2 linked regions of the Diceros bicornis minor genome follow. The protein of the gene in region 2 interacts with the protein of the main gene of each other region in a pairwise test. Links are inferred from orthologs where the notes say so. Each region holds a gene or a part of one and is shown on either strand. Other genes may lie near its edges. The genes, in order: NPHP1 and BCAR1.

Region 1 (15,660 bases), on a different chromosome or scaffold from region 2:
AACGAATTTCCACTTGATGAAAATACTTGCATAAAAGCAGATTTTTTATAATAAGATTAACTGTAATACTTACTTTGTTTAGTTTTTGAAGAGCATTTTTATTTTCATCTATTGCCTGTTTTAATTGGATACATCTAAATTTTAAAAAAGACAGGAAAAAAACATTAATTTTTCTATTGTCAGAACCAGAAAGTTATTTTATAAAGTCATACTTAAGTCTTCAAGCAGGTAAGGCAATTAGCCACTGTATGAACAATGTTAAAAAATTCCCATATAGGTACTGGTACAAAAACAGGCACACAGATCAATGGAACAGAATTGAAAGCCCAGAAATAAAACCACACATATACGGACAGCTAATTTTCGACAAAAGAGCGAAGAACATACAATGGAGAAAGGAAAGTCTCTTCAATAATTGGTGCTGGGAAAACTGGACAGCCACTTGCATAAGAACGAAAGTGGACCATCTGCTATTGCCATTCACAAAAATTAACTTAAAATGGATCAAAGACCTGAAGGTGGGACCTGAAACTATAAAACTCATAGAAGAAAATATAGGCAACACACTATTTGACATTGGTCATAAAGGAATCTTTTCGGATGCCACGTCTACTCAGACCAGGGAAACTAAAGGAAAAATAAGCAAGTGGGACTTTATCAGATTAAAGAGCTTCTACAAGACAAATGAAACCAGGATCAAAATGAATAAACAACCCACCAGCTGGGATAAAATATTTTCGAAACATATATTTGACAAGGGGTTAATCTCCATAACATATAAAGAACTCACACAACTGAACAACAAAAAAACAAACAACCCGATCAAAAAATGGGCAGAGGAAATGAACAGACACTTGTCCAAAGAAGATATACAGATGGCCAATAGACACATGAAAAGATGTTCAATATCACTAATCATCAGGGAAATGCAAATCAAAACAACATTAAGATATCACCTCACGCCCATTAGAATGGCTATAACCACCAAAACAAAAAACAACAAATGTTGGAGAGGATGTAGAGAAACAGGAACCCTCATACACAGCTGGTGGGAACGCAAGCTGTTGCAGTCTCTATGGAAAATGGTACGGAGATTCCTCAAAAAATTAAAAATAGAAATACCTTATGATCCAGCTATCCCACTACTGGGAATCTATCCAACAAACCTGAAATCAACAATCCAAAGAGGCTTATGCACCCCTATGTTCATTGCAGCATTATTCACTATAGCCAAGAAGTGGAAGCAACCCAAGTGTCCCTCAACTGATGATTGGATCAAGAAGATGTGGTGTATATATGTACAAGAGAATACTACTCAGCCATAAAAAAAGACAAAATCGTCCCATTTGCAACAACATGGATGGACCTGGAGGATATTATGTTAAGTGAAATAAGCCAGAAAGAGAAAGACAAACACCGTATTACCTCACTCATATGTGGAATATAAACCAACACATGGACAGAGAAAACTGTAATGTGGTTACCAGGGGCAATGGGGGTAGGAGGTGGGCACAAGGGGTGAAGGGAGACATACTATGGTGATCGACAAACAAAAATGTACAACCAAAATTTCACAACGTTATAAACTATTAAGACATCAATAAAAAATAAAAAAATAAAATAAATAAAATAAATAAAAATTCCCATGTAAGCGCTTTTCCACCCATTAGCTCGGGTGATCCTCACAGCCAAGCTCTAAGGTACACACATACGATACCCAAGGTTCAGAAAGCTTGAGTGACTCTGGGCTTCAGTTTCCTATCTCTAAAATAAGACAAGCATTGGACTTTAAAATGCTTCTCCAGCTCTAAAATTCCATAAACCTAGCACCTAGCCAAGGAGACACAACTAATAACGACAATAATAGCTACAGGTTATTGTGCATGAGCAAAATGGCAAGCATTTACAAGCATCACCTCATTTGAGCCTCACAACAGCCGTCACTCCAGCTGAAGACAGTGAGGTTCTAAAAAGTGACCACAGCCAGTCACGGTAGAGGAACACTGTGAAGGAAGAGTTTAGGATTCTCCAGCTGCCTCTTCTCACCACAGCACACTTCCCCTTTGAACTTGGCCTGTCCATACTGGCACAGTGTTTTAATTATTCCATAGACACCTCACATAATTTAGCTGAAGTCTTAGACACCCAAATGAGAAGTACCAAAATTACTGAAAATGGGCTACAGCTAATGATGTGAGTTTTCAGAAATCAAACGCTTTTTCAAACAATAACCTGCAAAAGTCCGTATTTTTTCTGCTGTTTGAGCCGTTTCTTTTTTCTTTTTACAGGGGCTAATGAAATAAGTAGTGAAAAAGGGGACAAAAATGCTTTCTGAAAGAGGCAGAAAAAGAGAAGTGGAAACATCAAACTGTGCTGACCCTGCTTGTGACCTACCCCCAACCCCTCTGCCACCTTACTCTATGCGGGCAGGGGGGCCTCCCACTGACACCCAAGCGCTCGGCCACCACTGCAGGGAGGACGGGCGTGTGGCCAAGCGCTGGCCAACGAAGCAGCAAAGAAATACGTTAGGCAATTCCTCCATTTTACCCTCCCTGATGCAGCACGTAAAGAATCCTCCTCCTTTCTGCTTTTAGATACTGATGCTGCGGACTTGGTAACAGTGAGGGGGGCCATTCCTGACAAGCTGAGGATGACGAGGCAGAAGGACGGCAAGGGCGGGTCCTTGAGGGCATCAAGAGCACCGACCTACCCTGGGAGAACCTGCCCCCAGACTTTTTGTTGCATGAGACTGACAGCAAAGCCACTCGCTTTAACAGATGTCCTGTTACTTGACCAAAAGAATCCTAACCGAAACTTAGACTCAGAGATTTCATGTAAGAGCCAGAGTGGAAAACTATTTTTATATACTATACAAATAAAACAAATTATTTATTATAATTATCTCCTTCCTATCTATAAAATTATTAAAATCCTCAAACTGTTCAGATATTTTAAGACTTTTGGATTAGGATAAAAACTAAGCACATATTCATCTTCACTGCTTCCTGAAACCCCCACAAAAATGATTAAAACATTTTAAAAGGTAATGTACCCTGGACACAAGAGAATGAAAGAGGGACCACCTGTCAATAAGAGATTTCAACAAAGGTCTGCTGCATGGAAAAAGGATGGAACCATATTCTTCTATAAAGAGAGGAAGTAGCCACACAAGCATAAGAGGGACATGATCTGCCAGGCAGAAAATGCCACCATTTGGGTCAGCAGGTATGAAGGACAGAAGGGTTGACCAAAGTGTGTCCAAGGCAGTGCATTATGAGGGTCTACAGATGAAAAGACACGCACAATGGCTGGGGTTTGCTTTCTATACTATATTATGTAAATTAAATAATATCCATAACATCTAAGCTATTAAGAGGAAAATCAGCCTTAAGACAATCTCAGGTCTTTACATTATTCAGGGAAAGAGGAAAGATACCGATTAAGTTTAGATGTAGTTAAGGCCCTTTTATAATAGGTCTTTGACTTTTTAAAAAGTCTATTTTACAGAAAACCTGACAGCTTCCCTTTCTCTTACCTCATCCCTCTCTACTTACCACAAGGCCCTTCTAAAATTAATGAACGACCTGGAGAGAATCAGACCCAGGGATAAACCTGTGCTGGCACTGGGGGCTCCTCAGACTAAAGGCTAGTTCTAGGCCCCTGAGAAGCCCTGCCCGTGTACAAAGAACCGCATTCTCATTCAGAAGACAGTACTAGTAGGAAAGAGACCTACACACAACAGCAGAAGAACCCGTGACAGCTCCCTAGAATAATCAACCTAGTCTCTTATTCTTAAATAAAAGTGGATAACCCAAGGACCACCAGGCATAATAAGGAAAACCAGCAACATGGAAGATAAAATTTAAAACTAACCAAAAGTAAATAAATAAATAATCTGAGCCCAGAGGAACCAAAGACAACTCAGAGAATAGAAGAGAACTTAAAAAACAATCTCCTAACACAGAAGTAGGAGATAATCTGAAAACATGATGCTATGAAAAAAGATCAAGGAACAAGAAAAAACACTGGTAAATTAACAATATGGCTGCTGAAATAAAACATTGCATAGAAAAGTTAAAATAAACAGTCAAGAGAATCTTCCAGGCATAAACAAAAACAAAGAAACATAAACCGTTAAGGGGGAGATGAGCAATCTAAGGAACAGTCCAGGAGATTAAATACCTGACTCAAAGGTGTTTCAGGAAGAAACAGACAAAGAGAAGTAACAAATAATCTTTTAGTAAAAGAAAATCTCCCAGAACTCATGAAAGACAAGAATTTTCAAACTCAAAAGACCCACTGAGTGTTGAGCAGGATAAAAACAATACCTGAATACATCTGAAATTTCAAAACACTAAAGCTGGAGAGAAAAGCCCCAAACAGGTCAATGATAAGGCAATGATCATCAAACTTATCAGCATCACTGAGTGTAAAGAAACCTGACAAGGCTTCAAAGGTTTAAGTAGACATTATTTTTACTCCACATCCAGCCAATTATTAATCAAACATAAGGGCAAAATGATATTTTCAGACATGCAAATGTCAATGTGCATTTTTAAATGACTGTGAGGGGATCATTTTATACACAGAGAAGACTATTTATGGTTACTTGGGTTTAAAAATAATTATTAGTTTATTAAAATAAAATTTAAAAACCTAGATTTCCCTGGGACTTCAAATTCAGCCTATAAATCTTATTCTATTTTTAAATCTAGTAAAGCAAGTGCAATCACCTTCACTTTTTCTTTCATTATTGTTTGATGAATTCAACTTGAACTAAATTCCTTAAACAATCCATCTTACTCATAAATACAGTTAATTAAATTCCCTTCAACACTTTAAAATAAATTTAAATTTTATTTTGCTTTTAACATTTTGAATGCCTGACTTAAGTAAAACTTTCCAAGTGATTCTAATGAATCATTTAAACTAACAGAATGAATCTCTTGTTCTTTTGAATGTTATAAACTCTTTAAATACCCACAACATACAGATTATCTTAATGATGTCCTAAACTTAATACAAAAGCATTAAAAATCTAATTTGATTTAGTTCATCATGTCTATGGAATTTTAAACTCAATTTAATTTTAAACTCTCCCATGGATTAAAAAAAATGTCAAAACAAAAAAAACACTTACCCACCGAGAGAACAGTTTTCCCATTTCAAGAGAGTTAGAGTCACCATCCTGCTAATAGAGATTTCTGACGAGGTCACAGGATCTGGGGCTACATAGGCCAAGGGCCTATTGTAATTCTGCCTAAGCCACAGACATTCCCTCTGAACAGTTTTCATAGTTGCTGTCACAACAGCAAGTCCATAACCTTCAGGTTTAGGTTGGTTTCTCCTAGATCCAGTTAACTATGATGTAATTCTTCCATTTAATTCAAAGGGACCAAAGCCGGAAACTCCACTGAAGACGGCAGTTAAGTTCCTTCCCTTGCTTGACTGAATTCTGCATTTCTGAGCCGTCTTAAAACATTTTTATTGTCTTCCCACTTCAATGTCTTATAGCATAGTAATGTTAGATGTACTAACTAACCACTGTGAACCTTAATTTTCTCATCTGCATTAACAAGTATCTCACGCTTATTGTGAAAATTAATTAAGAAAAAGTTTTTAGAGCATGGACCACACTGCTTGGTACATACATAGTACAAAATAAACGTTAACTTGCCTCTTTTAAACATTTTTGATTCTCTATTTAATTTTATCATTTCAATATTTAGACCCAGTACATACAGATAATTGCAAGAAGTATTTTAATACGTTTTGGGAAATTTCATTCACTGTTACTTTAATATGTATCATTTCCCATTATCATTTTGTCTTTTGGGAAACTGTACTAATAAATAAAAGGAAGGAAATAGTGCCTCAAACAATTTCTAGGCTGTAAATACTGCTCATTGGAATGTAAGTACAATTCCTGGAAAGTTTAAGTAATTTAGTATGCTTTACCTTTGGTAAATATCTCGCCTTTTACTGGCTTCTAGAGCTCCTTTCAATTGACTCTCAGAAAGTAAACTATCAACCTGCAACAAATGGAGACAGTTTAAAATATCATATTGTTAAATGCCATATAACCTTAGGAAATAAAATTTTAATTCTCTTTTCCCAACATTTTATAATGAACACTTTTAAACATATAATGAAGTTGAAAGAATTTTACAGTGAACACCCGTATACCCACCACCTAGATTCTACCTTTAACATTTTACTAGACTTATTTGGTCCATCCATTCATCGATCCATCTGATTTTTTATGTACGTCAAAGTAAACCACAATCATCAGTACACTTTCGCAAAATAACGCACCATGGGTATCACTAACTCGAGTTCAATATTTTGGTGTAAAATTTACATACAATGAAATGCACAAATCTTAAGTATACATTTGCTGAGGTTTGGCAAATGCATATATCGGGGTAACCCAAACCCCTAACAGCATATAGAAAATTACCATTACCCCAGAAAGTATGTACTCTTGTGTAATCGTTTCACACCTCAGGTTTTTGAGATACTTTCATATTGCTGTGTGATTACTAGTTTATTCCTTCTTATTGCTGAGTAGTATTCATTGTAAGAATATACCAGGAATTTGCCTATCCTCATTCTTATATCTTGTTATCTTGACCTGTTTTTTCCAAACACTACATGTAACTTTGCCAATGTACCCACAAAAGAGGCACACACTTCTTTTGGGGGTTCTTTTCTATAGATGATGTGGAGGAAAAAAAGTGAATGAAAAAAAGAGAAATAGAAGTTCCATAGCTTCTTCTCTACTCTTCTATTTTGTATCTATATAACTGTTATTTACAAAATTCGCACACATCTAGTGACAGAGTCAGTCAACACAGGCATGCCCCAGATGGGCTCTTGATTACTTGTCCGATGGACATCGAGTTGGAAATCTGTCCTGTGCCCTCTGTGGGGACAGGGAAGAATTAGCTCACACTATCCAAGAGCCCTTCCCAAACTGTCAAACGGTTCCTGAGCCAATTCTTTTCCAGGCTGAATAATCCTTATAATCATTTGTTTGTTTCATCTTTGTTTTAATAATAACTTTTGTAGTTTACTTCTGAAGCTTTTCCTGGTTCTCCCAATTGCCCAACAAATTTAAAATTAGATACGGCTAGCCAAACCTCAGCAAAAGTCAATGCCTCCTCAAGTTTTACATTTATTTCTACCAGAAGAGTATTTTTGTTGCCCCACCATAATTCCAATAGAATCACTTGAGAAATATTTATCCATCAAATCTTTTGTACTTTTTAAACAAGAGTCCAAAATTGAATAAAATATAAGTGTTCAGTAAATTTCTTGTCTGCCAAAGATTATAAAATAATTTTATTTAGTGGAAACTATACTCGGTAATAGATCAAATGAAAAATAAAAAGTAAAATTAGTAAAGAACAATAAGAATTTCAGAAAATAAATTAACAATTCATTAATTACTAGTTTTTTCTTATTTTTTAAAGTAATATACATTCAGTATACAAAATTTTGAAAAGATCAAAAAGTATGAAAAGAAACACAGAATTACCATTTTGGCATGTTTCCTTCTATCTTTTTTCTATGTATATTATATATAGAAAAAAACTGTATTACTGTAAATACTGTATATTCAACTTTATATTCTTTTTCTAACTTAACATTTTATCACAAATATTTTCCCTAACATTAAAATCTCTTTAACAAAATTTTAATCACAGGATTATTAGCCCATCATAAGTTACTTATCCATTCCCCTATTACTGATCATTTGAGTTGTATCCAGTCTTTTCTACTATAAGTAATACTGTGACGAGCACTTTTATACATCAATCTCTGTCCCAATTTTTTTATTATTACCTACGGTAAATTCCCGAAAATGTAAGTACCCAGCCTAGGAGCATGAACATTTGCTACACCTTGTCAAACTGCTTTCCAGAAATGCTGTGCCTTATACATCGAGGCAGTGCGTGTGAGTACCTGTTTCATTACACCCTCCCCATACTGAGTATTGTGATTTTTTTAAATGTTTGTGATATCTTATTTCCTTTACAATTACTTGATTATCTTTGAGGATAACATTTCTCACGTTTATGAGTTACTGGTATTTTTTCTTTAGTTCATGTCTTTTGCTCATTAGTCATATCTTAATATTTTTCTTACATATTAGGACTATTCCTTGACCCCTACTTCGCTTGAGTTCATGTGAAGCAACAACCGCAGGCGGCTCAAAGGAAAGGGGGCATGGCGAGTGGAGAGATGTTGGGCGCAGAGTTGGTTGGAAACGGTCACCGTTAGAAGTTGAGATTCGAGGTGAGCGGCGTTAAGGGCTTGTTAGTGTTGGAGCTTGAGACGTTAGGGCGGGGAGGCGGGTGGGAAGAGCGCTTAGTCGATGGCCACGATTTTCCGGAGGTACAACCTGCAGCTGGGGGTTGGGTTGGGAGCGTGAGGGGCTGGAATCGGAGTTCGGTGCCGGGATGCTGCGGGGTGTTACAACGCGGGAAGGTAAGTGGGTTGGGGTAGGTTCCCGGGCTTGGGGTGCGCCCCGTTTCTCTGGCGCCCGCCGCCAGAGCCCAGGCCGCCTCGCGGTGCCCAGGTCCCCCGCGGGACAGCCGGACGGTACCTGTTGCTTCAGTTCCTGACTGCGGCGCTGCAGGGCCTGGAGGGGACGGCGCGGCCGCCTCGCCAGCATCTCCGTCGCCAGGGAAACCAAAGCGGCGGCACCGGAAGGTGACGCCATCACGGCGCCGGAAGGTGACGCCATCACGGCGCGCCCGCCGCGCGGTGCCGGGGCCGGGCAGGCGGGACGGTGGAGCTGCGGGGACAGTCCTCTCCGGCGGTGCCACCCGCCACCCCCAGGTGCTGAGCCCTCAGCTCAGGGTGGCTGCGCAGGCCGTCATCTTTAGTTTCCCTGCCGATTCCGAAGGATTGGAGTGAGGGGTGCCGCAGAAGGCCCCGCGGCGGGCGAAACGACACGTCTCAACGCCTCAGTCTCACCACGGCGGTTGTTTTCTGATAGCACTTCTGCTACACTAACCCTGGAATACAGTTTCGGCATCCTAAAACTCTTTCATTAACTGCAAGGATAGCTCTCCTGCGTGACCTTCACGGGATGATGCGTGGTTCTGCTGCGTACTCCTCACGTCAAAAGGCAGTTTTTAATTCTTTGCTGTTGGAGGTCGTGCTGACGTTTCGTTTCGCGCTGCTTCTGCACGCTGTCCTGAATTCCGTGAGGATGGTGATTTTGTCTGTTCTACAGCAAGCCTGTGAGCAAGGAATGATGAGCCCCGTTTTACATCGACTCTCAGGGAGAGCGTAATGACGTTTCCCCAAGTGGGACTGAATCCTTTAAATCCAGTTCCCAAACTCTTTCCACTTCGCCGAATAAGAATGATGATGATCTGAGCTCACTTTGCAGTTGATGAACCTCGCTAATACAAGTGAATGTTCTTCAAGACAACACATATGTTGATTCCACAGGCCCCGCTGCCTTACTGTTCATTTATTTACGTACTTTTTCCTTCAAGGACAATAGAGAGGGACAAACCACGTGTCCACCTCGCTGAATTTTCACACTGAACAGACTCCCCCCACCCCACCCCCAGCCCCCCCCCCCGCCCCATGTAACATAACCCAAATTTGGATACAGAACGTTACCAGCACCCTAGTGGTCTTCCTTTCTCGTAGTCTCTTAGTCCCTACCTACTTCCACCGCCTACACCAAAGGGAAACACTGTCCTAACTTCCAACAGCAAAAATTTGTTTTGCCTCTTTTAAAACTATAGAATGAAATCATGCAGTGAGTATTGGCTTCTCCACTTCTTTCACTCAACAGCACGTCCGTGAGATGCAGCTATATCATTGTGTGTAGTGGTAGTTTGTTCGTTCTCATTGCTTTCTGACATTTCATTGTATGATACACCCTAATACACTCACTCATTCTACTGTTGCTGGGCATAGCATGGGGGTTGTTTCCAGGTCAGGGCTCTTATAAACGGTGCTGCTATTTACACATATACATACTGTGAACATATGTACACAGTGCTGAGCCGCAGGGCATGTTCTATATTCAGCTTTAGTAGATACCGCCTAGTTGTAATTTACACTCTACCAGGAGTGTGTGAGTTTTAGTTCTTCATATCCTTGACAATGCTCGCTATTGTCTGCTTTTTTGTAGCTCGTGTCTTTATTTTGAATTAATTTCTCCATTATGGTTCATGATACTTAAAAGTTCACTTAAATGGCCAGACATAGTATTTCCATTAAAAATGCTTATAAGAACAAATGAGAAAATAATGAGTGCTATAAAATACTTTTAAATGGATTAATAACTCAGACTTCTAAGCAATCTTGTAAGAGGTCAGCAAAAAAGAAAAAAAAGTGCACTGAAGACAATCCACCATTTATGAAATTCTTATGTATTTTAAATTAAATATATGTCCATAAATAAATTAGGAAAAATATTCTATATCTGATTTATAGGCATTTCCAAATTTTAAATGGAAAAATTACAGGGTTATGAATATAGTATAATTCTGTGTTGGTAAAAATAAACTAATAAGCCCCCTAGATATGTGTGTATGTATGAGCAATGAGGAAGAATGCAAAAGTTTATTACTCTCGTTCACCTCAGGTGGAAAGATGACTTTGACTTTATACATTATGGTACCTTATTCAGAGATACAAGCATGTATTCGAGTCCTGGATCAGCATCATCAACATCACCTGGGAGCTTGTTTGACATGCATATTCTCAGGCCCCACCACAAGCCTACAAAATCAGAATCTATGGTTTAATAATACCCCAATGTTTCATGTGCACGTTCAAGTTTGAGAAATACTACTTAGGTATTTAGTATGCAATAAGGGATGAGATTACTCGGCTAACTGCCTCCTTTTTCGTTAATTTACATTTCTTTTGACTTCTTGCAATGCTCAGCATAGTCACCTTGATGCTAGTCATTGCTTCTGTTGTCGTCCCTTGAGGCCATTATGAAAATCAAAGTAACTAAAACAAGAAAGCTTTGCAGTGAGGTAGCCCAAAGACACCAAAGCAAACCATGGCCACTGTTTCTCTTGAGATCAAGCTACTTCATAAAACTTATGATTTCCTTCCATCAGTGTTAACATGAATATCAATTTTGTATTGCGTCCTCACGGGAGACACTGAAAAAGAATTTAAAGGCTTCCAAGAGATTCATAATGTAGAACTAGTAGAACAAGGTGGTTAGAAACCAACCAACAGGAGATTGATTATAGCAAAGAGGATAGAGACATTTTGCCATTTCAGGGTCTTCAAGAAAACAATCTACTTCAAATAAAAGTGACAAATATTGGGCCAGCCTGGCGGCGTAGTGGTTAAGTTCATGTGCTCTGCTTCAGCGGCCCCGGGTTCGCAGGTTCGGATCCCGGGCGCGGACCTATGCACTGCTCACCATGCTGTGGCGGCGTCCCACATATAATGTAGAGGAAGATGGGCACGGATGTTAGCCCAGGGCCAATCTTCCTCAGCAAAAAGAGGAGGATTGGCAACAGATGTTAGCGCAGGGCTAGTCTACTTCACACACACACACACACACACAAAAAGTGACAAATATTTATGAGCACCTGTTGCAAAGCACTGGTTGGACCTGTGGGACAAGATGTTTAAGGTGCTGGCCTCAAGGAGCTTATGAGCTAGGGTATCAGACTAGAAACGTGAAGTTGCACTAACTACAAAAGATTGTCACGGAAGTATCACCTCGTGTACAGAATTCCCTGCCAATGGAACTGTAGACAATTGGACACATTGCATTTGAGTTCTAGAGTAAAATCATTCAAAGAAAATGTCCACTACACAGTTGAAAGTGTGAAGCTGGAATTAAAGGATCAGGTGGGATACTAAGATCTTGGAGGGGGCCTGCTTGGATGTGATAGTTGAGCCTAGAGAATGGCTGGGGTAGCCAAACGAAAGGACAGAGCAGAGGACCAAGGATTGAAGTTTGAGGAACTTGGAAAAGGCACGAAGAGTAGAAGTTTGGAAACTCGGGAAAGTTTTGTATTATTAGGGAAGTGAGGGAAGGAGAGTTTCAAGGGAGAAATTGGTATTACCAAATACTCTGGAGGTGAAAAGTAAGGATTCAGAAATAGCTAATAGCTATCAATGGCTCTGGAGGGTGCAAAGCGCAGACTGCAGCAGGTTAACAGGCAAAACATTTGGGAAGAAAGTGACAGTGGACCACTTTTTCTAATTAACAAATGATGGGGTCAACTAAAGGGATTTTTTTAAGTCAAGATCTGCACATGTTTGCAAATAGAGGGAAAGCAGAGAGTATAGATGCTAGAAAGAGATGGTTTACTAGAGAACAAAGAAAGTCCTGGGGGGAGATGCAGAATTCAGCTGAGGCCAGAGAGGAGTCACCCTTGGAAGGGTCTGGTGCATCTTCTCTTCTGAGAAAGGAAAGCTAATGAGACACAGCCTCAAAACCAGTGGTTTCAACCTTGGCTAAGCATCACAATCACCTGGGGAGCTTTAAAAATCCTAATGCCCAGGAACACCCCAAACTACATAAATCAAAACCTCTGGGAAATGGCATGCAAGGATTTGTATTTTTAAAGCTCCCTAGATGATTATAATATGCAGCCCTGTTGAAAACCATTGCTCTTGACTAACTATTGAGAGGAAGAGGAGACATGAAGGAATTCCCGCCTAATGGCCTTGATCTCCTCATATGGTTGAGAGCAGTCTTCTCTGAATAAAAGATGTCAACTGGGAGTTCAAGGAACACGGAGAAACACTGCTGAGAAACCAGAAGGGTGCAGTTACAATTAGAATGCACTTGTGGTAGCCAAGGGAGAAAGGGGAAGGGTCTTTCTCTGCTAAGTTTGGAGGCCCAAAAAGAGAGCAAAAGCAGCGGTGAAAGGTAAACGTATAAGCGAGAATGGAGTCTAAGCCAACCAGGGAGCCCAGCAAGAGTGATGAGCTGAATTGGGAGGATGGGACAAGCAGGGGTCTCAGAGCAGGCGGTTCCATAAGTGCAGACAGGGAGATGTGGAGAACGTGAGCTGTCCTCAGAGGAAGGTTTACCAGCTGAAACCAAAGAGGCCAAGTACAATGTGACGATGAGGTCCAAGCCTGGGACAAGGTCCACGAGACAGCTGAAGCAACGTGGAATGCAGCAGGAAGCCTGAGGAGCCCAGTGTGGAGGAGAAAGAGAAGCAGGGTAGGGAAGTAAAAATGGGCCACTAGAGGTAGCTCCTGTGATTAAACGGTGACAAATGGCAGGGAGGAGTGTGAGACATGTATTTCAACAAGTCAACAGGGTGTCATTTCCAGGGTACATGACTGGCATAACCCGTGTCCCAACCTCCTCATTGCCAATTTTGGCTAACATGGAAAAAGTAACATCTCCATGTGAGGCACTATTTTCAGGGAAAAAAACCAAACACATTTAAGCAGGGCCAGGGGTAGAGGGCTAGAGGAGAAACGGCGACCAAGGCAATGTCAAGGGGAACTGCCACCACAGAGCTGGGGATACACAGACAGTGTAAAGGCAGTAAGCAGAAGAAGGGAAGATTGAGTGGCATGGGGGGGCTGAAAACCACATAAGGACCTAGACAGGATGGGGGCGGGGGGGTGTGAACAGCACATGCCTAGAGGGGCAGGGATGACAGAACACTAAGGTGAGACAGGAGGAAGATGAGTGTGTCAGGGCTCGCACATAAGTAATGGGAACGGAATCAGCGTTGGAAAGGCCAGGTCCACCAGGAATATGGCACATAAATACGCCCAAACAGGCAGAACTGGTCATAACCCAGAGGCTTAACCAGACACATACCAACAGCATGGGGACACCATGGGCCTTAAGAAACCCACTTTGTCTCAAGCAGCCTCAACTCTTTGAGCCTCCATGAGGAATGGTGACTAGGATACTTCAGCAAACTGCAGCCCAGACGGGATGGAGGTCTAAGAGCCAATATTTCAGTCCTAGAGTACTTCATTCACAGAATGAAAATAAAGTTGGAAGTAATAAAGCATTTTGGTCTCAGTAAAATGGAAGAAAAAAAAAAACAACAGCTTTCTGTGGAACAACTTATCTGAATTTTCTTACGTTAATATAGAGCTGCTATTAAATTGGCTAAGACACAAAATTACTCTTTATAGGAATGAGGGTAGTGTTTTAGAAAACATCTTTTGCAAATCAAAAATAACCAGGGACTTGGTCCCTCACTCTTGAATTTTAAATATAGTTTGGATTTATCACTAAGCTTTATTCAAGCGAGTTTCTCCTTTGCATGTCCATTCCATAATGACAAATGAAGTTTCTGCCAATAAAAACTTATACTCTGTACTTGGAGTTACGTTGTGTCTCCTGGAAGTGTAAAGATCCTATATACATCAGTTATTACCTCAGTTATTTTTATACAGCCTCTTGCTTTCCTGAACAGGCGCAGTAAAAGAGCTGACCAAAAGGACTCATAATGGTCCCTAGGCCAACTCTGCTTTGCTGTTGTACCAAGAAACTAGCATAGGTTCCTTAAGAAACAAGACATCTGCTGGAAAGCACTAATATATCAGTTTTGAGAATCGAGATCTCTTGATGCAGTAACCTATATGGCAGGCAAGATACTCCTTTTCCTTTTAATAAAAGGTTCAAAGATGTTTAAAATTTTTTTATTTTAAAAATAAAATTGATTCATAAAGTGCAAGGAAAAACATTTCTGTCCAGTGGTCTATATGCATCTTCGACAACCTGTTGGAAAAAGAAAAGAGAAAAAAAAATTTAGAAATACATAATGGTTAATTTCAAATCATTCTCTTCTATAATACTCTATTATAATTTCAAATTATTCTATTCACAGTTAAACCATGAACTATAAGGTCTGGTGTTAACAGACAAGAACACTGAGACCCTGAAAATTTGCACAGCTCTGATTAAAAAAAGCCAGGACTAGATACAAGGTTCCTGACTTCCAGGCCCCTGCTCTTTCCACTTTAGCAGCCTGCCAGTAACCTAAGAATTCAGATTGAAGATTCCAAAACGTGAACGGAACGATGTACTACGGTGCTACCAAAGATACTACTGAAAAGAACGATAAGGGGGAGAAAAGGGTGTCAGGAACACCTCCAGGGTCCATTCTTTCTTGTTCCCTTTCGGTCTTTCCAGTATTTTCCGTTTTGAAGTTTAATGGTGTCAAGGTGCAGCAACACTACACGTGGTAAGACATTCCCATTAAACACACGCAGTGATCTAAAAATACGACACCCAAGTGTTAGTTATTAGGGAAAACACAACCTCCTCCTCCCTCCGGTGTCTGCGGGCGCAAGTCACCTCCCGCGAGCCATCCAGCGACCCCCTGCCCCAAGACACGCGCCCGGCTCCGCGTCTCTCCGTAGCGCGCCCCTGTAGGTACTGCTCACCGACACTCCGGGAGGAGCCGGGCTCGGCAGGCGGAGGGAGGCAGGCGGGCCCGGCGCGGCGCCGGCCGAGACCCCGCGTGGGCGAGGCGAGGGGGCCGGGCCCGAGGGCGCGGGGCGTCAGGTCAGGTCCAGCTTCTTCTGCGTCACCGCCAGCTTGTCCTGCAGCCTCCGCTTCCTCCAGTCCAGATAGCGCCTCCGCAGCCGGTTGGCCTGCCAGCCCACGAGCACTCCGGAGGCGAAGGCCAACAGCACGGACAGCTGCAGTGTCCTCTC
Region 2 (15,585 bases):
CCATCCTAGGCAGGCCAGGAGAGCAGAGCCTACAAGTCCAGCTTCTCTATCTGGGTCTGTCACTGTGTCTCTGGGTCTTAGCCTGGCATTCGAGGGATGTCCCACGGTGAACATCACTCCATCCCACTCACGGTCTGTCATCCGGATGTGCAGCCTTGTCTTTCTAGAACCTTCTGCCAGACATTCCTTCTCTCAAGCATTGAGCCCAAGGGCCTTGTATAAAGAACTTGCCCAAGGTTATCTTCGAGGCCAGAATTTGGGCCAGCCTCCAGCATCAGCCTCCTCTCCGCTCAGTCCCATCCCCCATCCTTGGCCCCATCCCCCATCCTTCGGGAGTGGGTGTCTCCTGCCTTGGGGGAGCATGAGAAGTAGAAAGCTCCTTGGAACAGCAGGCTGGTGGGTGGAGGGTGGAGAGACTTGAGTCAGCAATTCTGACAGCCCCAGCATTTAACTGATGCTTCCCATGTGAAGGGTGCCACACCATCCCTTATATGCCTTATATCCTAGTCCTTCCAGGACGTTTGAACCAGGGCCACCGCACTGCACAACTCTCGGGGTGGCGGTGGGGGGTTTTCACATAGAATAAAATAAGGATGGGGCTCCTTGGAGTTGTGGGATGCTTCACTAAGCCCCATTTGACAGATGGGATGAGAACATGCTTAGAGAGTAAAAATACTATGCCGAAGCTCACAGGGTAGGACCAGAACCCAGGCCAGCCTGGTGCCCAGACCTGTCGCCCCACCCTGCCACTGGAGGTCAAAGGTGACAGGGAGCCCAGGTTCTTGCCAAAGTGCAGACCCAGCTCCCTACAGCAAGTTCCTTCCTGTTTTCACAAGAGTCAGTCTCACTCCCAGGGAGTGGGGAGAATTTCCCAGCGCCCCTGGGGCAGAACCTTGGCCTCCAGGCAGCAGAGCAGCTGATGGGGGTGGGGGCCTGGTGTTCTTGCCTCACTGAAAACGTGAACTGCTGCTCTGGGGACTCCCACTGGTGGCCCCAATGTGGCAGCTGCTCCTTTGGGCTCTTTAATAATTTAGAGAATGTACACTATTCAGCCAGGCGGCTTCATCCCTGGATTCAGAAACACAATGCCCTGGGGATTGTTTCCAGCAGAGAGTGAAATTCCACTTGTCACAGTGACCAAGTACGCAGCCCTGTTCCTGGAAGGGGCTCTGGTCTCTGGGTGTTTACAAACATCCTAGAAGACCAGGAGGCCATCGGCCAGGGCCCTGGACGCTGAGGTGGGAGCCCGGGTTCTGCCTAGCTCGGCAGGGGGCCCCTGGCAAGTCCCTTCCCCTGTGTCTCCTGCCTGCTCCAGGGTGATGGGGCTGCGAGAATCGGTGTGTGAGTCCAGGGCCTTTTTCTGTTCGCTATTCTGCTGCACCCCCTCCCCAGCCTCACTTGGTGTCTGACCCTGGGAAAGATCCTTGCACCAGGCCCCAGAGGGTCCATAGGAATATGTCCAGGATGTCTTGCATTTCCTAGAAATTGGCAATTGCATTTTCCCCTCAAAAAGTGTTCTTGAAAAAAAAATTACACTTGAAAACATTTTGCTAAGTGCAATAAGCCAAACACAAAAGGATAAATATTGTATGATTGCACTTACATGAGATACCTAGAATAGGCAAATTCACAGAGACAGAAAGTAGAATGATGGTTGCCAGGGGCTAGGGGGAGGAGGAGAGGGGAAGTAATTCTTTAATGGGGACGAAGTTTCTGTTTGGGATGATGAGAAAGTTCTGGAAGGGATAGTGGTGATGGTTGTACAACATTGTAAATATACTTCATGCCATTGAACTGTACACTTAAAAATAGTTAAAATGGTAAATTTCATGTTATGTATGTTTTACTACAATTTTGAAAAGTGTTTACTATAAAACAAATTGCACAAGTAATAATGTTCATTTGAGAAACATTAGAAAATAGAGAAAATAATTTTAGTTACACCAAAACCTCCTCCCCTCCTCCAAAAAACAAACAATTAGTCTCCTGTGAGATTATAATCCACGAAGACAGAAAAAGCCCTATTTATTAACCAACACAGTACTAAGGTCCCAGTAGGCCCTCCCTAAATATTACACAATGGTGAAAAAAATCCTACCCCCACCCCAGGATAACCACAGCTGATATTTTAGTATCTGTCCTTCCACACTGTTCCCAATGTAAATAGATGACATAAATATAAATATATGATTTTTTATGAAAATAGGATCCAACTGTACCTATTATTTGGAAGCCTAGTTTTCCTAACTTAACAGTATATTGTAAACATATTCCCATGTCATTCCATATCATTAGTGGCAGCGCCCAGGATTGGATTCTGTCGTGTGAATATTCCATGATTTGTTTAACTGCTGCTTATTACTAAATCGTTCCCACGTTTTCCTGATCATAAGGAACGCTGCAAGTCACGTCCTTGCACGTATGTCTTTGGCCATTTGTGAGTGCATTGTTTAGGGTAAATTCCTGGAATTTCTGGGTCAAAGGGTCTGTGCCTGTTGGGAGTTTTTGCCTCGTCTTGCCAGACTGCATGCTGGAGCCACACATCATTATAGCTATTCCCACGAACAGCGAGGGATGCTGCTTGAACTGAGTGAGAGGATTCCTGCGTTGGCCAAACTCAGCCATGGCGGAAGTTCAGTTTGTGGGGGCCAGGGGTCCCCCTTATACACGCCTGAATCCCCGGAATCTATGACTAGGTTACCTTACAAGGCAAGAAGTGCTTTGCAGGTATGATTAAATTAAAGATCATGAGATGGGGAGATTTTCTTGGATTATCTGAATGGGTCCAGTGTCATCACAAGGTTCTTATAAGAGGGAGTCAGGAGTGCCAGAGTCAGAGAAGGAGATGAGATGATGGAAGCAGAGGTCAGAGTGATGTGGGGCCACAAAAACGGGCCAAAGAATGCAGGCGGCCTCTAGAAGTTTAAAAAGGCAAGGAAAGGGAATCTCCCCTCGAGCCTCCAGAAGGACTGCAGCCCTGTCAACTCATTTTGGATATCTGACTTCCAGAACTGTAGGATCAATTTGTGCTGTTCTACACCACTAATTTTGTAGTAATTTGTTACAGCAGCAATAAGAAATTAATGCATCTCCCCGCTGCCACCACGTCCTGAAGCCCCACTGTCTAAGGGACGATGGTTTCCTTCTGCACCCAGCAGCCTGATGACCTGAACATTACTCCCTCCCCTAAGCAGATGCCCCCCAGGCAGAGTATACCCAAGGTTCTGTGCATGAGGGACAGCCAGGGAGGTGCCCTGCCCCAGCCCCCAGGACCCACCTTCAAGAGACTGTGAAATTACCCTCAAGGATGTTGGAAACTGGGCTTATTTAAGGTCATGAAGTAAGCGTGCAGTAGTGCCAGGACCAAGGCCTAGCTTGGCAGGTCAGTGGGTTCCCCATTCACTCCACTCAGCTGAGCTTCTCTCTCTTGCCAGTCTGACTTGCCTTCCTGGGGAGAGGTAGTCATTAACACTTTAGAATGAGTAAGACAGGACATCTGGCTCTGGGTACTCCCCCACCTGTCAATATGGTGTTACTACAGAGTAGTAGAGCTTGAATCTCATGTTGAAAACCAGGCTTGGGGTGGGTAGTTCCCTTGCTCATCCACTCCAGAGCTCACAGGGTCCTGTCAGCCACCCCCAACCGTGAAGTCTCCCTCTAGGTCTTCCAGAAACAAACTCAGTTCTTGCCCTCTGAGGGAGGTGCTTAACCACACCTGGCTCATGTGTGTGGCAATGATGGCCCCTGCTGTTTCATAAGCAAGGATTCTAGTGCCCTGAACTTTACCTGAGTCATTCAACCGAATCCTTTCAACCACTCAGGGAGTTTTCCCTCTCAATTCACAGATGAGAAAACCGAGACCCTGGCAGGTTAACTCACATGTGCAAGATCATTCAGCTGCCAGGAGCAGAGCAGGATTCAAACCAGGTCTGACTGCAGAGCCCAGAGCTGCCTGGGGTTGGCCTGCAAAAGAATTTCGTTTTGGCTTACTCAGTCAATGGTTCAAAATCAAGAGATTTTATAAAACAATCTAGATTTCTAGATGCTCTTGAAAAAATCTGATTCACCAACTGAAAGAACTCCCAACAGCCAAAGCAGGAACAATTGGAGCAAGAAAATAAAGTAGTATTGGATTATAATCCAGACTACAAAATAAATATCCACAAGTTCATACTAATATAAATAAATGATTGAATAAATAAATAAATGGAGAAGAGACAAATTTCCCATACAGAAGAATTCCAAATAATTTATATAGATATTCCATCCTCAAGGAGGAACATAACTCCACTCCTTCCAAAGAGTACAGTATAGAAAGTGGGGGAAAAAAGAGTAAGTTGATAGTGGAGAAACCTGACAAACACTGTCTCAGCCAGGTGATCAAGGTCAACATCAACAGAGATAAGTCCTGTTGATAGTATGTATCCTTGATATGATGTGATGAGAAGGGCCTTTTACCTTTGTGATCTTCTTCCTAAAAAACCATAACCGCAGTCTAACCATGAGAAAAACATCGCACAAACCCCAACTGAGGGACAGCCTGTAATATCCCTGACCAGTACTCCTCAAAACTGTCAAGATCATCAAAAACAAGGAAAGTCTGAGAAACTGTCATAGCCCAGAGGAGCCTAGGGAGATGTGATGCCTAAATGTAATGTGGGATTCTGGATGAGATCTTGGAACAGAAAAAGGACAGTAGGGAAAACCTAAGGCAATGTGAGTAGAGTATGGACATTAGTTAATAAGGATGTATCAATGTTGGTTCATCAATGGTGACAGATGCACCATGCTAATGTAGGATTATGACACAGTGCCCACAGGTGCTTCCAAAGGCTCAGGGCATTCTCCTGGGCCAGGGGCCCCTCTGCCAGAGCGGTCCCCAGTTACCCTGGGAGGCAGAAGGAGAAGAAGCCACCTCCCAGGCCTCAGCCCCTCTAGATGCAGCAAGGCCCAGGGAACAGAGGCCAGGCTTGAGTGTTTGGAGAACTGGGTGTGAAGCTTGTCTCTGCCCAGATTTACTCTGTGGCCATGTCCAAATTCCCTTCCCTCCCAGTGCCAGGGACAACAATAACCCCTGTCTCCCTGGGGCCCTGGTCATCCCTCAAGGACCCTCTCAGGGGCTGGTGCCTGCTCAGGCCTCCCAGCTGTTACTTCTGGTGTGAACTGCTAGTCGTGAGGCCCCCAGAGCCTGTTCTCTGCAGGACTGAGTAAGTCATCCTGGGATCATTTGCCTGCTGGAGAGTAGGGGATGCAGGCAAGTGGTGAGAGGAGAGAGGAGCATCTGCTGCTTTCATAGACACCTGGTACTTGTTCAGGGGAGGGCGCTCAGTGCCCTGACGGGGCTCCTCTGGCTGCCCCCAACCCAATACCCAAGGCCCTGGGTCCCTGCATCAGAGTAAGTGAGGGTCTGGCCAGGGAACCTTCTTTCTGCACTAAAAGATGAGTTAGTGATGCCCTCCCTGAGTGAGCAGCCGTAAGCAGTTGTTGGGGGTCAGTTGGAGGCAAGGACTAGGTGGTTTGGAGGTCATGGCCCCAGCTGCACCCCTACCCTGGGTTTCCATTTCCCTGTGCCCAGCAGTGTGGAAGGGGTCTTTCCCCGCTGTTCAACCAGTTCTGGCAGGAGCATCTAGAGATGGGGCCGATGGGAGAGAAGACAGAAACAGTGGACGAAAAGAATCCAGCCAAAGTAGGAGAGGAGGGAGGAGGAGCCTGAGTGCCAGGAGGCAGGCTTAGTGAGGGAGGGGGCCAGCATGGCAGTGGGGGCCTCTGGGGCAGCGGCCGTGTGTGGCTGGGAGCCCGGGTGCCAGGCTGAGCTGCTGCTCACAGCTCAGGAGCCCCTGTGCCAGCTGGATGCGGGCGGGTGGGCACGGGCAGGGCTGCCTGCCAGACACATACAGAGCGCCCTTTGAGGAGGTGGCAGCTGTCGGCCCAGACCCCCCTCTGCTTGCTGTGGCCCTGCCTGCCCCCTCCAACAATGCCTTGCCGAGCACTGGGCTGGGGAAAGTGAGGTACACAATTGGGAACCCCCACTCAAGGGGTAAAGGGGGGCAATGCTGCTCAGTTGGAGCAGGGAGGGACCCCAGCTCATCAGTCCTAGAACCAGGACCTGGGCCTCATGGCAGCTCTCAATTTCCCCCTTTCTTGCACATCTAGTACCCCTCTCACTGCTGGTGGCCGCTGTTAGGACTCTCCCCAGGACCCGCCAGGAGAAAGACCAAGGGACCCTACCTCTTGGGGAGGAAGACTGGAAAGCCTCCAAAACCCCAAAAGATGATCTGCAAATGGGAGATTTTGAGAGCTAGGGAGCTGGGGGCCAGACCTGGGTCTCTGGGGAAGCCCACTTGGCACCTGTCACTGCTTCCTCCTTCTGCTCAGTCACCTTAGGCCTCCTGGCACTGCACACTTGGCAGGTGAAAGAGCCTGCACCCTGGGCACCTGCCCCTACAGACTTCCTAGGGGGCTGGAGCTGTCTGTCTGTCCCCCAGGTCCCTACCATTAGCCACAGCTGCTGCCAGCCAGCCTCATGGAACTGGCTCTGTCTTTCTTCCTCTGGGTGGGCAGCAGTGTCCACTGCCCTGGCCCCTGGAACCCTGGTCTAGGTGCTCACTCATTCTCTCTGGGCAGTAGCAGCCATTTCCCCTGTCTGGCTTTGCCCAGGAAGGGCCCCCAGGGAGCAGGGACAGCCTGTATGTGGTGGGCAGCAGAACAGAGTGGTCAGCGTTCTGCCTTCTAGTAGCTGAGGGATATCAGAGCTAGTCTGTTAAATGTAACATGTGAACAGCAAAGCCTACCTAGCAGGGGGGTGGGGAAATTAGGACGCACATGTATGTGCCCCCTGCCTGTGGGTAAGGTGCCTGGACACCATGTCAGATGTGGAACAGCTGAAGAAATTGGGGATATTTAACCTTGGGAAAGGAAAGCTCTGGCGGCTAATGCCTGTCTTCCAGTGTCTGAGGGCTGGCCCCTGGCACAGGGACGGCTTGGTTGTGGGTGGGCCGATGAGTGGGGGTTACCAGGAGACAGGATCCTCCCTAAAAGCCAGTCCATCTCTGACTGTCAGGGTGACCCGACAATGAGTCAGGCTGTTCCCAGGGAGTCGGGAGCTCCCTATCCCTGGGGGAGGGGCAGTGGGGGGAGCGCAGAGCAGGCAGAGGAACTCTGGGCAGGGCTGCGTTGGGAGTACCGGGGGTCTCTGGGCTTTCAGCCAGGGAGTGGGAAGGGTTCCTAGGAGCCGTGTTCGGCTGACCTGCAATCGCCTTCAGACACAGGGACTGGGAGCCCGGCCAGGACCACAGGGCAGGCTCCCAGCACCCTGGGCTGGGCAAAGCGGGGGGTAGGGGTTCTGGTCTCCAGAACCGGTTGGGTGAACAGGAGATGGTGCGACTCAAGGTGGCCCTTGAAGGATGCGTAAGGGGCGTAGACCGAGCCTCCTCGCCCCGTTGGGCCGACAGAAAACTGCCGGGGTCCAGGGTCCTCGCCTTTAACGCGGCCCCCGGTGGAGGAGACGGGAGGGGGAGGGGCGGCGTGGGGCGGCGCATGCGCGGCGGGGGCTGGAGCGGCTGGAGCGGCCGGACCGTCCGGCCGCCGGGAGCCAGCGGGAGCCCGCGGGGACCCGGACAGCCCCGGACCCCGCGCGGGGGCTCTGAGCTGCGCGGCGGACCGGAGCCCCCAGCCTGCCGGCGTCGCTGCCCGCCCGGGCCCCGGGAGCGGCGGCCAAGATGTCTGTGCCGGTGAGTACCGACCGCCGGCTGGGACCCGGGGTCTGCTGCCCCCGGCCGGGCCTGCGACCTCGCGCCGCGCGCTGAAGGCCTAATGCCGCTGGGGCTCCCGGGCTGGGGGGCGCCCCACCTGGGCCTTCTCGGGCCGGGGATGCGGGCAGGTGGGGGCGTCTCCCCCAAGCCGGCCTCTCTGCCCCTGCCTTTCTTTTCATCCTCTCCCTAGAGAGTCGGGTCGGGCTGGGCTCCGTGCTGTTCTCTCAGGGAGCCCCCCGGAAAGGCTGGGTTGGCAGGTTCTTTGTTGGCCCCCGGGGAACCCCTGGGATAGCTGGGCCAGGCAGGAGTCCGTGTAGTCCCTCAGGACCTCCTCCCCCACCAGGATGGCCAGGCCTAGTGGGGAGAGGTCTATGCTGCTCCCCAAGACCCCCCCACCCAGGACGGCTGATGCACTCACTTTCTCGGGAAGTTTTCCTCTGCCGCTGAACCCCAGGGCGCCGGGCCTGGCCCCTCCCTGCTTCTTAGCCAGGGGGCTTCTCTTCTCACCTAACACCCCCTCTGCCTGGCCCAGCAGGCAGGCTTGGGCAGCCCCCAGGCCTGGCTCCACACTTAGGCCAGCATCTGGAGGCATCTGGGTCCCACCTCCTGAGGGGAACAAGTGATCCTGGCTACCCCTGTCAGGAGGCCTCAGGTCCAGGCCCCAGTCAATGCCCGCTTTACAGATGGACAGACTGAGGTGGGGGCTGAAACGCTGCATCCTGCCTGGGAGGGGCGCCCTCTGCAGGCTGGAAAGCTGTGGCCTCTAGCCATTGTTTCACTGCTGAGTTAGGGGCTTTTCCCTCTGACAGCAAGGGGCGGTGGGCCAGGGCGCCCCTCTACCTGGCCTTGTTTCTGGAACTGCTCCTCACCTAGGGAACCTGATCCTTATGTTGAAGCAGACAGTTGGGGCTTCCTGGCAGGGTGAGTGGCTTCTTAATTAACCACCATAGAGTGTGTGGAGATTACTGGAGGAGAGATGCTGTGTAAGTGCGAAGCATTGTTATTATGGAATTAAAGATCCCGGCTCCTGCCTGCCTCCAGAAGCGGTAATGCAGAGTTACAGATGAAGAAATTAGGGCTTCCAGACCGTGCCGATGTGACCCCCCCATCTGTTCTGGTTCAGAGCATAATTGCCTCATCTTTAGAAAGAAAGAAAGAAGACAGAAAATGCCTGCCAACCCCTTCTTCTCTCCTGCTCTGCTTTATTGCAAAACTCTGGATCTCTTCTGGCCCGAGGACCTGCCCTGACCCTGTGGGCACTGGCCGGAGGGACAAGGTGGACCACCTGAGTCTGCTTGAGGTCCTGGGTCTCCAGGGCAGTGGTGAACAGGGAATGTGACTGAGGCCACATCAGAGCCTGGACGGGCCTCAGTTTGGGAGGTCAGCCATTGATTGGTTTGGTTGTCCCCAGTCACAGCAGAGATCTGGACATGGAGTCTGGGGTGGCAACCAGACCCCTTGCCTTGTAGGACTTTGGTAGCCTTCCTGGGCTGTGTGCCTCAGTGGCCCCATCTGTAACAAGCGAGGGATGGCGGGAGGGCCAGGGTCTGGCTGTGACTTGGACAGACAGGCACTGCTGTGGAGACTTGCAGCCAATGTCTGCTCGGTCTGTCCACACCATTGCCAGCTCCGAGTCACTGCCCACCTTCCCACCTGCAGCCACAGCCCTCAGTGATTCTGCAGGGGGTGGGGGTGGGGATGTCTCACCATCTGCCCCCTACGTGGCTGGCTGTCAGATCATCCTGGCTCTCTCCTGAGACCTTGGGCAGCGTGTGAGCTGATGGGGCTGGGAGGAGAAGTTCATTTTTGGAGCAGCCGTGAAATGTTTGAAAAATTGCTTTCATGTGCTGGTGAGTGGTGAGGCCCCTTGGAGGCTTCCACGCCACGCCCTGCTCTTGGAACCGAGAATGGTGATTGCCCATATGGTGCTCAGGACACATTGGGTTTTAAGCACACCCGTTCATTTGGGCAATCTTTTCCTGGATGGGGCTGACGCAGGCACTTTGGCCCACAGAAATTACAGGATACTTCAGAATGGAATGGGAGGTGATGGCGGGGACAGAAGAGGTTGGGATGGGCCAGGTTGAGCCAGGAGTGACTTCCTGAGTGTTAGAACAGGGGCACCCTCCAGGGATCAGCTGGTCTCACAGGAGGTCTTGGGCCCAGAGAGGGGAGGGCACACAGGCTCCTCCTGACTCCCTGCTCAGTGCTCCTTCCTCTACCCTGAGCTGAGGGCAGTGCTCACGCAGCACCTGGAGACGCACTTCCTGACTGTTCTCTGACATCTGCCTTCCTCTTGGGCATGACCATCTGGCGCCCCAGGCCTGTCTCTTCTCTCTGGGCAGGCAGGAAGCATTCGAAAGGAAAACGGCTGTGCCACCCACTTCAGACCCCTGGTGGGCATTGGCATGATCTGTGTTTAGGAGTGACAAATGCTGGCTGTCCCCTGGCACTATCAGGCCAGAAGTTCCTTGCTGTCTGTTCCTGCCTCTTGTTTCCTGTCTGTGAAATGGGCACAGCCATTCCAGCCCCTCCTCTGCTCCTTTATTGAGTGAGGGACGGGTCCTTTCAAGGAGTGAAGGTGCTGACGTGTGTGGAGTGCCAGGCACTGGGCTCAGGACGTCACAGCCTCAGGGAGGACCTGTGTCTTGCCAGGGTTGCATGGCCACTGAGAGATGGAGCCAGGGTGGGAACCAAGTTGGGCAGGATCCAAAGCCTGAAAGTGAGCGTCGCCCTGCGTGGTCTCTCTAATTGTGGGGGCTGTGGCCTGTAGAGCCGTCCACAGAGGCCAACCTCGCTGAGGGACCGACCCTCTTCTTGTGGCTTTCCAAGCATGAGTTTGTGTAACCCCTTCGGCACCCCTGGGAGATGAGGCAGTGGGAGTGCAGAGAGGCCAGGCAGCTTTCCCAGGGCTCTGTAGCAGGGTGAGTCTAGCCCTGCACAGCCCCAGCAGTGGGCAATGGAGATCAGTGGCCCAGGCGTGGCGCCTGAGTGAACCTCCACCAGCATCCCGGGGCCCACTTTGTGCCTGACTCTGTGCCAGCCAGTGTTGTGCTAGGAGAGCTGGGCAGGGAGCTGGATGCCTCTGCCCTGGGCTCGCCGCCGGCCTGGGCAGCCAGGCTCTGGGCAGCTGAGGCCTGGTAGAACAGGCTCAAAAGAGGACAGTGGGAAGAGGCCATGTCCAAGTCCAAAGTCCTTAGTTCAGTCCCCAAAGTGCCTGGCACACTCCTCCCGCCACATACCCTTGTCCCACCGGGCCGTGGCTCCGCCTGGCCCTCCTTGTGCAGGAAGTGATCTCCAGTCACTTCTGCTCACCCTCAAGTGCTCAGGTAGAGGGCATGGCCCTGGGAAGCCCCCTGGGACCCCCATGTGTGACTGTGTGTGTATTGTGGGTTATTTGGTTGCTGGCAGGCTCCCTTTCCAGACTGCAGGCTTCCTCAGGGTAGACCCAGGCGGTGCAGGCCTGCTTGGCCCCTCTCTCTCCACCTCATTGCCCCAGCTTGCCCTGGCCGCCCTCCAGAGGATGTGGTCCCGGGAGCACCGGGGAGCCCCCACAGACCCATGGCGGTGTCCCTATACAGAGAGCCTGGCGTCTGAGCTGCTGTCTTGGAAGCCTTTTTGGGGCCTGAGTGGGGTTCCCAGAAAGACTGCTTTGGGGTGGGAAGCATGTTTGGTGGGTCGAGGGCAAGGGCTCTAGAACGCATGGTGATGGCTCATCTCTACCTTGAGCGAGTTACTGACCTCTCTGAACCTGTTTCCTTGTCTATGTTATGGGGATGTTAACAGTACGAGCTCTTGGGGTTTTGTGAGAACTTGGCGAGGGTTGCAGAAAGCTCTTAGTAAGGCTGATAAATCATAGCGGCCACTGTTGTTGAGGTTGTTATCTTTATCCTGCTACGGCTGGCTGATGCAGTGGCCAAGACCCATTCCTGGCTCCTGCACAACCAGCCTGGCGAGAGGTGGTCAGCCCCCTGCCCCGGCAATTCTCTGTGGCCTGCCCAGTCTGCCTCCAGTGGCCCTTTCTTTGTGGTCAGTGTGGTTCCCGCCAAGGCCTTAATGGTGGGATGACCCAGCCCCTCTCCTGCCCCGACCTGCCTGTGGGACCCCTGCATCTTGAGCCTTGGATGGGCAGGTACTTGTCCTCACCCCACTGACAGAGTGGCCTCTAGTGGGGCCACCAGCTGGCCCCCTGTGCCCTGTGTGGGTGGATGCTCTGCTCTGGGTGCCCCCAGGAGTGGGTACAGAGTTGCAGGTAGTGGAAGCCACTGAGGCAGTGCAGGCCTGTCCTCGGGTGTGGTCTGCAGCAGCCTGGTCAGCAGGGGACGGGCAGGGCCCTCAGTGGAAGGAGAGAACCCCTGAGGCGGGTCCCGGAACCTTAATGGAGGGGGCTCAGGCCTGTGGATGAGACAGGTGGGCCACAAGGCTGTGAGGGTGGCACCCGCTGACCCCCACTGCCCATGGCTGGGCATGGGGCTTCCTACAGTCAGCTGTGCCTGCCCTCCTGTCTCCTTCTCCCTCTGTGGTCCTCTTGCCTCCCCAGCCTTTGACTTGCCTTGACCACAGCTGTTTGCTTTGACTGCATCCTAGTTGATCCCCATTGTTTCTTTGGCTCCCTCCTAGTCCCTGTTTGCTGGGCCATTGTCTCCCTCTCTTCAAGAAAAAGAAAAAGAGCTGGGGACAGATTGGGGACCTTGGTAGAAGTGGCAGTTGATGCCTGCTCTGGCAGGAGAGATGGTCACATGTTTTGGCTCTTAAGATAATCCCTTCTCTAAGGGAGATTAGAGGCTGAGGGGGCTTTTCACTAATTTTAATTTATTATTTAAACCCCACCAACTTCCGGGGCCGGCCCCGTGGCTTAGCGGTTAAGTGCGTGCGCTCCGCTGCTGGCGGCCTAGGTTCGGATCCCAGGCGCCCACCGACGTACCGCTTCTCCGGCCATGCTGAGGCCGCCTCCCACACACAGCAACTAGAAGGATGTGCAACTATAACATACAACTATCTACTGGGGCTTTGGGGGAAAATAAATAAATAAATAAATAAATAAATAAACAAACAAACAAACAAACAAACCCCACCAACTTCCAAGAAGGATTTGAAGCAGCTTATAGTGAAAGACACAAATAGTCTGGGATCATCAAAAGATCCAGAACTATGTAATGTATGGGGAAGGTAGGCATACACATTTAACTTTAAGCTTCCTGCCAGGCAGGGCAAAAAGGGTAACACAGTGGGTTTAGGATTACAATACCTATCTTTGGTATTCCTAATGCCATGTATTTTTTCCTCTGTGCTTTGTTTTATTTTTACCAGTTGAGACTCTCTTGTTGAGGCAGATTTTACATATAGTGAGATGGACAGATGTTAGGTGTACAGTTGACTAGTGTAGACCCCATGTAACCATCAATCAAGGCAAGATAATGAATGTGTCCCTTATCTCAGAAAGTTTGCAAGTGTCCCTTGTAGTCAGGTGTCCCCCACCCTGTAAGGTGGCCCACATTCTGATTTCTCCCACGTTGGCTTAGTTTCGCCTGTTGTTGAATGTTGTATAAGTGGAAGCATGTACTCTTTGGGGTCTGGCTTCTTTCATTCGGCACAATGGTGTTGAGATTTTCATCCACGTGATATGTATCAATAGTTCTTTCTTCGTGGCCATGCTGAGTAGTGTTCCATTTATGAATGTGAATGTATGTAGTTATCCATTCTCCTACTGACGGGTCTCTGTCTCTAGTGTTTGTATGCTGTGTATTTTTAAGTACTGGAGCGCTGGTGCTGGTGGTGTAATACCCTATTTCAGTGTTTATAAAACCTGATCTCCCATGATGTGTGCTTCGAGGCATGCCCAGAGAGTTGTCTGTCCCCCAAATGCTGGACCCCCCAAAGTTACATACTTGTTCCGAAAGTGGTGTGACCACCCGCCTGCCTGTTCACAGCCCTGCCCAGATGTCTAGGGTTTGAATTCCCTCTTCCTGAGTTGCCGGGAGGTGAAGCGTCTTAGGTTTTTGAGTCCCTGTGTTTCTCCCCACACCCCTGTCCACTCCACAGGTCCTGGTGGGGAGAGACTTCTAGGAGATCAGGAGGTAGGAGAGCGTGAAGTCTGTCCTGGAAGCTGATTGCATCCCTCCACCCTCCTGGGTCCAGATAGATTCTTGAGCTCCCCCTCTTTGCCTACTCCCCTCAAGACACCCCACCACACAGACACCCCTTGCTGCTCCCCCTTCAACTCTGGGAGCTCCCAGCCTGGCAGACACCCCACCACTCAAGAAGCCGGGGGTGGGGGGTTGTTGCTTGAGAGCCACCCTCTGTGTCCCTAACACCTCTGTGCTCCCTCTTCACGCCAAGGGAGTTGGCAGGCCTGTGCGCTTTTTACAAATCTTTACTGTTATTTTTTTCTGCATAATGAGCCTTAGCAAAAGATTCACACATCTGCTCAAATGCCACTTCCTCAGAGAGGACCCCCCAGGCACCTGGTATAAAATAGCCCCTCACCATTCCTCTGTTGTCTGCTTTATTCTCCTTCAGAGCCCTTATCACCACAGATGTTCCCGTGTTTGTCAGTTTGTGTCCCCTCCATGCACACACCCTGGAGTCTAAGTTCCCTGCGACATGGACACGTTTTCACAGCAGTGTCCTAGTACAGCACCCAGCTGCTGCTCAGTGGGCAGGTGCCAAAGGACTGACCATCACACTGTAATAAGTACAGTGGTAGACCCCAGAACCAGCCACTCCCCACCCACTATGACCAGCCAAGGGCAGACCCTGCCTACCCCCCAGCATTGGCTGGTGGATCTGGGGGCACCAGAGCTTCATGGAAAGATTTTACCCCAGAGTCTCAGGAGGTTTTGTTCCCCCTGTGGTTCAGGGGCTCCGGGAAGCTCAGGACACCTGAGCAGGGGCTGGGAGAGCAGGGAGGGCTGAGTGGAGGGCACTCGTGCAGGGGGTGCAGGCCTGAGGGAGTGCCCTAGTGCCCAGCACGGGGCTGGTGTGTGCCGGGGTGGTGCTGCGCGCAGCCTTCATGTGCCTGCGGTCTCAGGCCTGAGGGTGAGCAGGGTGGCTGCTGGCGGTTACACTTAACAGATGCACAGACCGAGGCTCTGAAAGGTGCAGTGGTGGGCTGAGGGTCCCATGCCAGCTGGAATCATTAACGATCTGTGCTCCTGTGCTTGTAGGTTCAGCCTGGGCGAGGACTTGGGCCTGGGTTCCCTGGGGCAAATGGAGCCTTTCTTTGCAGGCTGGAGCCGGCTCAGGTGGGATGCCAGGTGATCCAAGGAGGGAGAAAAAGTAGTGCTTTCCCAGTGGCTGCCGTGGGTCTGCCTTCTCTGTATCCTCTCCTTCCTGTATTCTCACTCCACTGCCCCCAGAGCCCCCGGAGTCCTCTTCTGTGACCCCACTCGCCCCCTGGCCTGCCGACCACAGCTGAGAGGCTAGGCAGCACTGTTCTGCCCCTCTTTGTGTCTCTGTGGGTCTAGGCACCTGTGCTTCTGCAGAAGCAGGCCTGGGGTGGGCAGCAGATGGCATGTGAAGTCGCCCCCCCTCCGACGGCCCTGATATGCTGGGGCTGGTTGCCATGGGGAGAGGTGAGAGCAGATGGATGGCTGGGGCGGTTCTTGACCACACCCTTGTCCCTGCCTGCCCAGGCTGTTAGCCGGAACTGGGCGGCCACCAGCAGCTATGCTTTCTCTCTGAGGACAGGGACTTGTCCTGTGCTCCTCCTTCCTCTTCCCCCCTCTCCTCCAGCTGGGACTGAGCCCCTTTCTTCCCCTTCCCCCATTTCTTCTGCCAGCCCCAGTCCTCCCCCAGGCAGTGCTGAGAGGCTGCTTCGGGGTGAGGATACAGG

The links.
Region 1: the proteins of BCAR1 (region 2) and NPHP1 interact in a two-hybrid assay, tested with the Homo sapiens proteins (2 studies listed by BioGRID). The link is inferred for Diceros bicornis minor from reciprocal best matches to the Homo sapiens genes BCAR1 and NPHP1.

The regions. Positions count from the first base shown.
Region 1 is NC_080779.1:17,502,494-17,518,153, forward strand, and holds the start of NPHP1 (nephrocystin-1), read right to left. Parts: upstream 8,688-15,660; 5' UTR 8,681-8,687; coding exon 8,612-8,680; intron 6,033-8,611; coding exon 5,959-6,032; intron 135-5,958; coding exon 74-134; intron 1-73. Other genes in the region: MTLN (mitoregulin), read right to left, coding at 15,505-15,660. UniProt on the Homo sapiens protein: Together with BCAR1 it may play a role in the control of epithelial cell polarity. Involved in the organization of apical junctions in kidney cells together with NPHP4 and RPGRIP1L/NPHP8. Does not seem to be strictly required for ciliogenesis.
Region 2 is NC_080771.1:25,781,154-25,796,738, reverse strand, and holds the start of BCAR1 (breast cancer anti-estrogen resistance protein 1), read left to right. Parts: upstream 1-7,619; 5' UTR 7,620-7,718; coding exon 7,719-7,730; intron 7,731-15,585. UniProt on the Homo sapiens protein: Docking protein which plays a central coordinating role for tyrosine kinase-based signaling related to cell adhesion. Implicated in induction of cell migration and cell branching. Involved in the BCAR3-mediated inhibition of TGFB signaling.